Linked DNA regions of Mus musculus: region 2 is reported to be linked to region 1. Evidence: microRNA targets listed by miRTarBase, many of them from high-throughput screens and not tested one by one. Region 1 holds a microRNA gene; the other region holds the end of a gene's coding sequence.

What was found. The annotated mature microRNA mmu-miR-3086-3p reads CCCAAUGAGCCUACAGUCUAAG and lies in region 1 at 3,133-3,154, opposite strand. An mRNA with a match to its seed (bases 2 to 7 or 8) in the 3' UTR can be bound and repressed. Matches are read on the target gene's strand: a 7mer-m8 pairs with bases 2 to 8, a 7mer-A1 pairs with bases 2 to 7 and ends in A, and an 8mer does both.
Region 2: miRTarBase lists Maoa as a target of mmu-miR-3086-3p. Seed matches in the 3' UTR shown: 7mer-A1 at 2,357-2,363 and 7mer-A1 at 2,467-2,473.

What each region holds. Positions count from the first base shown.
Region 1 is chr19:58,908,554-58,913,936 of GRCm38, forward strand. It overlaps Mir3086 (microRNA 3086), which reads right to left and starts at 3,206; the gene lies at 3,120-3,206. It also overlaps a transcript of Hspa12a not described here.
Region 2 is chrX:16,684,883-16,690,265 of GRCm38, forward strand. Maoa (monoamine oxidase A) reads left to right here. Exons shown (of 15, transcript NM_173740.3): 14 at 100-162; 15 at 350-2,930. The coding sequence ends at 493. Among named protein-coding and RNA genes, the nearest start is that of Maoa, 68 kb to the left of the region's middle.

The DNA of each region.
Region 1 (5,383 bases):
GACAGGACAGCAGGGGGAGGAAGCAGCTGTGGAAGCCTGCTGCACTTTCTCTTCCTGGGACAAAGATACATCTGATATAATGAGGGGTGGGGGTGGTAACCCACTCTCCTGTGGAATTAACAGTTGTGGATTATAAATTGTGTTCACCTCAAAGCAAGTTTGGATATATGTTCAGGAAACAAGAAATTGTCAAGAGTCCAGACATATTTAAAAAAAAAACAAAACCAAGACGGCTAGCCATCCCATGCAGGAGGTAGAGGCAGGAAGGTCGGGACTTAAATGGCAGCCTTGTCTACATAGAGAGGGTAGCATTGGCTATATGAGAATGGAGAAGAAGGAACTGATTGCTGCCAGAACTGAAAAGTGTGATGGTCAGACAGACCTCAGATAAGAGAATCGGTATTTGGAAAAACTGTGCAAATGAACTGACCATTAAAGAATAAAACTGCAAGATGTGAGGGGATGTCAGGAAGCAAGGGTGTGTAGACCAGGGGAAATGGCATGGCAGAGATGTGGCTAGAAACCTTCTAGAAGTTACCAAAGCTATCAAGCCCTAGGCCCAAAAATACAAGGTGAAGAACGAAATCCACACTTGGCCTATCCTACTGAAGCTGCTGAGCATCAGACACAGAGGACACTTTAACCGAGATCAGACAGAAAAGAAACGCCACCTTCTGAAGGCTTTTCTCTGCAAGTCTTCAGGAAGACTGCCAGACAGAAAGGAGAACAACACATGTGTATCAAGATGTTTGTGGGGGGCCGGGCAGTGGTGGTGCATACCTTTAATCCCAGCACTTGGGAGGCCGAGGCAGGCGGATTTCTGAGTTCAAGGTCAGCCTGGTCTACAGAGTGAGTTCCAGGACAGCCAGGACTACACAGAGAAACCCTGTCTTGAAAAACCAAAAAAAAAAAAAAAAAAAAAAGCTTGTGCCCGCATGTGACAGAATGCCTGGGAACAAGGTGGACTCTGAGTATTTGCATTTCAACATAAACGAGAAGAATTAAGCAATACTGAAAAAATAAATACCTCATATCTTCATATTAAAGTCTACAAGAAGCCAGAGCAGTGGAGAGAGTGTGTGTGCTGGTGTATGTGTGTGCTTGTGTGTGTGTATATGTGTATGCATGTATGTGTATATGTTTCCGTGTGTGCATGTGTGAATATGTATGGGTTTGTGTATGAATATGTGTGTATATGTGTGGTTTTGTGTGTATGTGTGTATTTGTATGTGATATGTACGTGTTTGTATGTGTATTTATGTGTGCATGTGTGTGTTTGTATGTATATGTGTATATATGTGTGTGTATGTGTGTACATGTGTACACGTGTTTCTGTGTGTGTATACATGAGTGCTTGTGTGTATGTTGCTGTGTGTATATGTGTATGTATGTGTTTGTGTGCCCATGTATGTGAATATGTGTATATGCCTGCCTGTGTATGTGTGCTTATGTGTATATGTGTGTGTGTTTATATGTGTGTGTGTGTGTGTGTGTGTTTAAAGAAATCCAAGAGTAGTGGGCAGTGACACACACCTGTAACCCTAGACTCAGGAGATGAAGGCTGAAGGATCAGGACTTTAAGGTTATCCTATGCTATACCATGACTTCAAGGACAGCCTGGGCAAAAAAAAAGAAAGAAAGAAAGAAAGAAAGAAAGAAAGAAAGAAAGAAAGAAAGAAAGAAGAAGACGGAGAAGAAGAAAAGAGAAGAGAAGAGAAGAAAGGAAAAGGAAAAAAAGAAAAGCTAAATATTTACAAAGTTAAGCATCCACCTCAGAATTTGAATAAAGCAAAATAAATGCAAAAGTTCTCCAGGTAGAGACCTTCACAAAATGCAAAATGGCTTCCTTTTTCCTTGCAGGGTTTCTGGTGTGGAAGGTCCACCCACCCACATTGCAGGCAGCTCAAACGCTGAGTTCCAATGGTATTTTGGGCACATGGCTATTTAATTAAAGTTAAACAATAGATTCTGCTTACTAAAGACAGGTACTGCTAGTTTTCCACTTATAGCAGTGAAATATGGCTTCCTTTTAAACTGTATTTGGGAAGAAGACAGAATTCAAAGGGAAATATGAAATAAATAATACTGTGGTTTTCTGTGGCAAAAGGTTATGTTTACACTGGAAGTCATAGTGCCTGTTGTTATGCAAATCAAAGAATTTATACACAACTCAAGATCAGGCTTTACAAATACAGCTTGTAGGGCATCTGAAGTCCTAGGTGCTTACTCAGAACTCAGTAAAGGTCGGTTATTATCAAGATCATAATTAGTAATAACTCTTTAATAATTAAAACGTAAGAAACGTAATTCAGATTATGGCTCTAAAAATAGCCCTGAGATAAATGACTAACCCCGTGGAGTGAGGTAGAGCAGGCTTCACAGCTACCTCTCCGTTCCCACACTTGGCCTCTTGCTGCCCTGGATGCCACACACACATCCCCACTCTCCATGTCCCTCACCTTCACCAGCACAAGCGCCTCAATGTAGACAAACACAGGGGGCGCAAGACTGACTGCCCGGGCTTACAAAGCTGCTTCCTCCCCCCACCCCCACCCCCAACGAAAGCCTCACTTAACACAGGGCAGGAAATGAATCCCCACCCCTATGGTCGATTTTGCAATGTCCTAGCTAAGCTAAAGGGCAGAGATTTGGAGACAAGGCATCCAGTCCCCAAGAACTAAGACACTCAGTCCAGCCCACCCTCTCCTCGGAGGACGAGCAGGATCCGGAAGCAACTGAAGGGGTAGTCGCCCTGTACAGCTTCAGCAGAATCGTATTTGGCCACCAGAAAAGTGTCAATCTGTCCATTCATGCCCTCCCCCTTAAAGATGATTAGCAGTGGTAAGTACTCAGGGCCTTCGCCATGAAGACGTTTTTATTTCATTTTCCCAGGATGTGTCTGCTCTTGGTGATTCTTCTAGAGTTCCTCCCAGGAAATCCCACCGAAGTGAAACCCACCAGAGGGGAATGCTTTTCCTGTTCCCAACCTCGGCTGACAGAACTGTTTGTCTGCAGCCGGCCACCAGGCGGAGCCCCAGCTTTCTCTATGGAGCCATTTATGTCTTTTTGCAAAACATCTCTGTGGGAGTCCCTACTTCTACCAGTCTGGCTGAGGGCTTCCGCCATCCCACACTTAGACTGTAGGCTCATTGGGGTCAAGACGCTAACCCTTCCAATGGGCCTACAATCTAAGTGTAGGATGGCAGTCCAAGACTCAGGCACTCAGGCGCCTCAGGTTCTCAACTATGTGTTATGACTGGACAGGCATGCAGCTCTCTCCCAGAACCTAAGAGGCCAACTGTGGTAAACGCATGGCTCTGAGTCAAAGGTGTTTTATCACAGCAATAGAAAATTAACTAATATTCCCTGTAACAAATGGAATCCTTCAGCTCCGGCTAGGAACTGGTTTTAGTGGCAGCTTCTGAGAGGACCAGAGGGACAGCTAGCTGTCACACTTGGAAGGTGGGAGGTCCTGCCCAGCTTCAAGACAGCATCTATTACGCTGAAACTCAAAAATTGGGCTGTCTCTTTGAACTGGAATTAAAGCCATATTGTGTCTCATACTATTGTCTTTGAATAAAATCTAATCCTCCTATGAACTGACCTTGACCCAGACAGCCATTTCCTTCCGCTTGAGTTCCTGCTTAGACGGCCTCATCCAGGACTAAGCTCTTCCACCTAGGCCATGATCAGGGGGGAGAGACATAGCTAGCTGGCCAGATGGTCATTGCTGGAACTCACTGAGCCCGTGCCATCATAGGGAGTCTGCTTGCCTCCTCCTACAGCCTGGCCGAGAAGCTCGCTTTACCCTCCTAGGTTCAAAGGCATCTTCCACTACTGAATATGGACTTGACAGGCAAAACTCAGGCAGGGGTCATCTCTGTGCCTCACTGCCCCCCAATGCAAACACACTGGAGCCAAATACTCAGCTCTCAGCTCACCTTCCAGTCTGGAGTGGTCCCCAAAAATCAGTTTCTGTCAATTTAATCCACTGGACAGTAGCTTTGAGAATTAGCTTGAATATTAAATATCCCATAGAAGGCAAGAGGTATGGATTCAGATTCTACCTTTCCACATCCAGCTGGGTGATGTGAGCAGACACACACACACACACGCACGCGCACACACATACATGCATACATGCACACACACACACACTTTGTTCCTCCGCCCTTACAAGGTTTGATTTAAAGGGAGAGGAACAAGAGGCCTCTGACACAGAACACATCAGTCTCTCGGCTGTGAGAAATGCTCACACTGTCCTGAGAGTGAGACTGAGCCCCTGGCCCACCCTGGCTCTGCACCTATGTGAACACTTGTGCTTTCCTGTGTCCTGACAATGGACTGCAAGTTTCACAAGGGAGTGGCATGGTGGTCTGAATGCTTGCCTGGAGCACGGTCCCAGAACCAGCTTGCAGATGAGTTCTCTCCTTCCTTTCAGAAAGACGTGAGGACGTCCTAGAACCTGAACCACATGCTACTTGGGATCTACATCTCCTGGGAGATACAACAATGGCATGGGAAGATCTTTCATTGCTCTGGTTCGGTTCCCTCTGGGGTGTCCGTTAGGAACTCTGCTTCCTGATACAGCTCCTTCCACACACCCACCATAGGGAGGGATTAAATAGAAACCTGCTTCTCCCAGAAAATGACACACAGGAAAGCTGGCCCTGGCTTCAGTGCTAGCCAAGTGCATTTTCCCCAGTGACGAGGTGGCCTTAAGAGAGAGAGAGAGACAAAAGCTTTCTGTGGTGGCCTCAGCCTTCCTACCCACTCACCCCAGTTCTGAGAGCTGACAGCCAGCTGCTTTCCTAGACTTGTGGGACAACTCAGAGACTTCACCGTCACCGTCACCAAGGCTGTCGCCAAACCATCACAAATGGATTAGGTGTAGTGGGCTCTTCTGTCTCAGTCAGTGCCAAAGCCCCACTGAGTCCAGGGAACACAGTCTCAGCTTGGCATGAAGCCCTGGCAACCCTTATGTGGGGACTCTTTCTGGCTTTATGAAAAGCCTCCAGTGCTCATAGGTACCTGGGAACATTCCGAATTCTCTCCTTTTTTCATTTGGATGCCAACAGTTACCCTGAGGTGCCTTGCGCTCTGTCTCCCAGATAGATTCTCTCTCAGCCGGAGAAAATGGGGCAATTTCAGAGCAAGTCTCGTTGGTGACCCTGGGTTCTCTGGGCTCCATGACGCTGCCACCTTACAGGTCTCTGATCCGTGTCAGTATTTTCTCCATCCGAAAGGAAGCTCTCATCAACAGTCTTTCTAAATGCAAACAGCAAAGGTGGCATCCAAAGACAGCACCCTTACAATCTCCCACACTCAACTGCCTATGCGGGGCTGGGCGAGATGCGAGGCAGAAGACAAGCATGCCGCCGAG
Region 2 (5,383 bases), not on the chromosome of region 1:
TTTGCCACCCACCTGTGGGTTCACCAATGTTTAATATGATTTTGAATCTGTTAACAGTATATAATGTCACAGTATAATGCTGTAATCACTTTCTTTCAGGTCTTGAATGCTCTAGGAAAAGTTGCCAAGAAGGATATATGGGTTCAAGAGCCTGAGTCCAAGGTAAGTTTGATTACTCCATATCTACAGACCAACTACAGCACATAAAATTGCACTGTCCTTCATTTAGCCTCTGCTTTTACTATAGATGCAACTGTCTTAGCATAGAAATACATACTACTACAGATAGGCTTTGTTTCTTTTAACTATAGCAAGAATTTCTATTAATGATCTGTGTTCATCTGTTTAGGATGTTCCAGCTCTTGAAATTACCCACACCTTCTTAGAGAGGAACCTGCCTTCCGTGCCTGGTCTGCTCAAGATCACTGGTTTTTCCACTTCTGTGGCTCTTCTCTGCTTTGTATTGTACAAGTTTAAACAGCCCCAGTCCTGAAGTTTTCACCCACAGGCCTCCTGCTTGATCATCCTTAGCACAATGAGCATGTAAAGGAAAGTGAGGATGAATTACAGCCTGTGGTTTGGGCAATTTAAGTGCACTTGATTTAACCCTGCTCAGTTTAATTTCAGTCTTTGTAAAGTGGTAACAGTCCAAAGAATCACCTAGCTAATTTCCATAAGAATGAGTTTCATCTTGTTTGTTAGACTAATTTGTGTTGGTTGATAGAATAAAATGTTGAGTGCTTAATTTCAAAAAGTTAAGTGCTTATGAGGAATAATTTCTGGATTCTGTTTTTTTTTTTCTTTTGCCTTTAATGCAAAACAGCTAATGGTTTCAGAAATAAAATAACTTGACTTACTGTGACTTTTGTGTAGCATCCAATGTGTACAGAGGAAAATAGTGGCTGAAATGTTCCCTAGGTATCCTCACTGATTACTAGTTCCATGTGACGCACACTACAATAGGCACTTCCTTTTCTGGACTGTATCTAGACAAGCATTGCTCCTTGTCAGTAACATTCTGTGCTGATTTAAGGAAAGTAGCATTATTTTAATGTGTTCTATGGCTGTCTGATCATAGAATTAGATTTCTAAGCCTACCTGTGTCTTCAAAATGGTTAAATATTTGTCTTGGTTGATAGTATACCATTTTCTCTCAAGTGCCAAAGGACATATGAAATTTTCTCTGTTGTTACAGTCAAACACAGAATGAAATTAGGGCTCTGTGTGATAACATGACCTCTTTTAATTATTAGGTTTTATAACAGACATTAAATTGAATGATTTTATATATCTGTACTGGGTTCTATATCTTAGTAGAGTTGTGGGTCCAGAATGGTGCCTGTATTTTTTTCTTTCCCATCTGAAATCCTGTCAATTAAAAAAAAAAATTCCAAAGGTTTCAACCACAAAGCACTTTAAAAAAAAATGTAAGTATAGTTTTTATTTAAGGAGAATTATGTCAGCATATGCTGGCCAACCCAAGTTTATTATACTAGCTTTATCCAAAATGTAAATTTAAGCCTCTAGATGCTGATGTGTGGACTTACAGCCTTTAAAGTTTTGCCCAGTCTAAGAGCAAAGATCTAGATTTCTTACCTTACTCTATCTTATAATTCAAAAGCATTTTAACTAACTTAAAAGATTCAGTGATGTCTTAGATGTTCTCCAGTCCATAAGGTGTTGCCTCAATTCATATCAAACTGTAGTGAGAGCTCTCAGCACTAATCTGCTCCAGTTGTGTGTATTAACTTAGTCGTGACTCATCTTGAAATGATTTAAAGGAGTGGATAGGCAAGAGGTCTAAAAGTATTCAGATTGTTAACACTAAACTGTTGAATATTGAAAACCTCCTGAGTTTGCAGTTTACTCTCTGCTTTTTAGAAAACCAGTTGATCTATCCTAATGATATCAACCCTATTAAGCTACAGTCTGGGTATTAAAATGATTTCCAGTACAGCCCATGTGTTTAGACATGTAACGGGAATTAAGAAGCACTATATGTTTCCAATTCTAAGAAGGGGCAAAGTGTCCACACTTTGGTCTATGTTCTTCTTCAGTTTCATGTGTTTTACAAATTGTCTCTTATATCTCGGGTATACTAAGTTTCTGGGCTAATATCCACTTATCAGTGAGTACATATCATTTGAGTTCTTTTGTGATTGTGTTACCTCACTCAGGATGATGCCCTCCAGGTATAACCATTTGCCTAGGAATTTCATAAATTCATTCTTTTTAATAGCTGAGTAGTACTCTAGGTGCAACAACATTATGAACTAACCAGTACCCCAGAGCTCTTGACTCTAGCTGCATATGTATCAAAAGATGGCCTAGTAGGCCATCACTGGAAAGAGAGGCCCATTGGACACTCAAACTTTATATGCCCGAGTACAGGGGAACGCCAGGGCCAAAAAGTGGGAGTGGGTGGGTAGGGGAGTGGGGGAAGGGTATGGGGGACTTTTGGGATAGCATTGGAAATGTAATTGAGGAAAATACGTAATAAAAAAATTAAAAAAAAAAGTAGCACTATATGTGAGGCTGTCTACCACAAAGTTAACATTGCCCTTTACTTTGCAACAGAGAAACAAAAATCATTTCAAGAGATTGATAATCCCCTTCATAGATCTGATGGCCAGTTGGCCTTTCTCCATAGTTAGGATGAGAATTGGTTTTTTAAAAGTACATCTTTTTGTCATAGCTGTTAAATATGATCTCATATTACACTGAATAAATTTAAACTTTACTGAAGGACTGTGAACTATGTTTTGCTTGATGGTTGTAAACTTGGTACCTAATGTTCCACGTAAAAATAAAGTTGGCCACAGAGCTACATATGGGCATATGCATATGTATTTGATTTGCCACTGAAGTAAGATATTGTCTGTGTGGTACTGAGTTTTGTTGTTGTTCTTAATAAAATGTGATGCCATCCTTCATTCAGATAGGCTTCTCTGATTTGGCTAATAGTTTATCAAAAGCTTCAAATGGCTTCTTATTGCCAGAAGTCTACAGAGGATGAACTTTTTAAAAGCACCTGATAATGCAACTCCAAATTCTTAACACTTGGTTTGATCTTCATGTAATGAAGGTTGACTGGGAATAGATCAAATGCTATAATACTATAGTAGGCCTGACTGGGCCACAGGTGTGGATTTTGACAAGTTTTCTCACCTAACTACCTTACGATGCCTTGGGAAAATCATTTGGTTTCTCTGCCTCAATTTACTCATGTGTGGAAAGACAGTCCTGTGCTTGATATCGTCTATGTGATTAATGTATTCTATTGCTAGCATTATTTCTTATCACTTTTTGGATTTCCTAGGAATAGACCAAGATGCTGAAAGTTTGCTAGAGACAGCATCCTAAAAAGGATGAGGAAGGTAAGTTTGTGCAGAGGACAGTCAGTGTGCAATGCAGTTGCAACTGAAAACTCAGCACATTCGAATGGGAAGGTAGTAAGGTTGTTAAGACTTCCCTTCACCCCCTATCAAGGCAAGATCTAGGTTTTAGTCCTTCTATCAGATACTCTATGGAAGGGAGTGTGATTACAGACAAGACAGGTCCAGAAACAATTTGTAATCAGAACCTACAACTGCAATTTTCAAGTCCTAATGAGAAATTGGGATCAGCCTGTCTTCGCAGCAGCTGGGGATGCAGGATGTCATTTTCTGCAAGACAATCTAGTTCTGCAAAGCACAGAAAATAACTTTGTCAAGTATAAGCCATTTTGGACTTGAACTTTGAGTAGTGTCACTATCTCTATGAACCTGTCCCTATTAAAGAGAAGGCTTTATTTCTGCATTATTTTTTATAAAGGAAAAAACAAGTTTAAAGGAACCCTGAAAATGACTTAAAGGATAACCCTACCTACACATTACTAGCAAAAATCAAAGGGAAAAATATATGCTTACAACTGGCCTCTTTGGGTAGAGGAAATGCCTAGCCTCACTGAGACTTGAAGTGCCAGGGTGGGGATACCCAGAGGGACTCTTACCCACTCAGAGGAGGAGAGATGGGGAAAGTATTGTGTGAGGAGGTGACCAGGAGTGGGGCAGTGAGTGGGATGTAAAGTGAATAAATAAAAAATAAAGTTAAATTTAAAAAATTTAAAAAGACCCAAATAGTTGTCCGCAATAATCAGCTAAAAGTGAATAGCAAGCATGAGAGACCTTATAGAGAAGTAAAGACTAGATGACCTAGGAGTTATGTGTCATTCTGAAAGGTAAGAATTCCTTTTGATAATTGCAGGCCAATTAAAGGTGCTGCTAAAAATTTGCTTGATATGACTAAATTGTTCTTGGGTTCCTGATTCTTTTTTTAAAAATCCAGTTTATACCACCTGAATGCCAAATTGTTTTTGGATGCTTTACCCACTGAGGAAGGAACCACAATACCAGCAATCATTGAGTAAAATTACCAGGAGTGGGTAAAAGAAGATCAAACAACAAACCAGAAAACATAGCAATAGCCCTCTTTAGTGACAGCCCTAGCAACACTTCTTCTGTTCGTATGTCCTGCCCATACAGGCATATCCACATAGCCATGTCATGGCTGGCAAGAGCAGTGCCAGACATCATGTGGGGAAAGGCGTGGAGAGAATTCTCATCATTCTATAGAAACTACCCGTTTGATCTGTGCTGACTGATACAATTCTAGTAAACAGGACAACAATGTGAAATAGGTTAAGTCTGAAACTAATGCGGTTCACAGTACAGAAAGAATCCATAAAGAATCCTTAGACAGAAGAACCTGGTGATTCCTCAAAAGGAGGGCACTTTGTAACAACAGTTTTTTCCCTCTCACATGGGGCTTTTGTTCCCTTTGGCAAGGCCTTTTTTTTTTTTTCTCGTCTAAAGATAAGGCAGGACGACTCAAGTGATAACTCTGTGTGTGTGTGTGTGTGTGTGTGTGTGTGTGTGTTTGAATCAGAGTGATTGATTAAACTGGAGTCAAATTTCTGAAGGTAGCTTTGGAGGCCTCATGCAAAAACTTTGGATAAAGGATACTTCTAGACCTCCCTTAAGTCATGTGTAAGCATTTTGCCTACTGACTTAAATTCTTTTACAGTCACACCTCTGTGTGAAACAGCTTTTCCTATTAATGAGCATAAGATATTTCTCATGAACCACTGAAATTCATAAATGGAATGGGGAAGAATGAAGTGGTATGGCATGGGTGTATACTGGGGGAAGGGAATGCTGATTGAGGATGAAAGGAGAATGGGAAAGATGCTTAAACATCCATGGAACATCACACTAATTCTTGTGCGCACCCGACTCGACCAGCAAGAACTATGCTGCAACAGGATCCTTCTGCACATGTTTATTGGGAGAGCTTGATTGCAGAGGCGAATTGACCCGAGCCCAGAACTGGTGCTGCTTATATA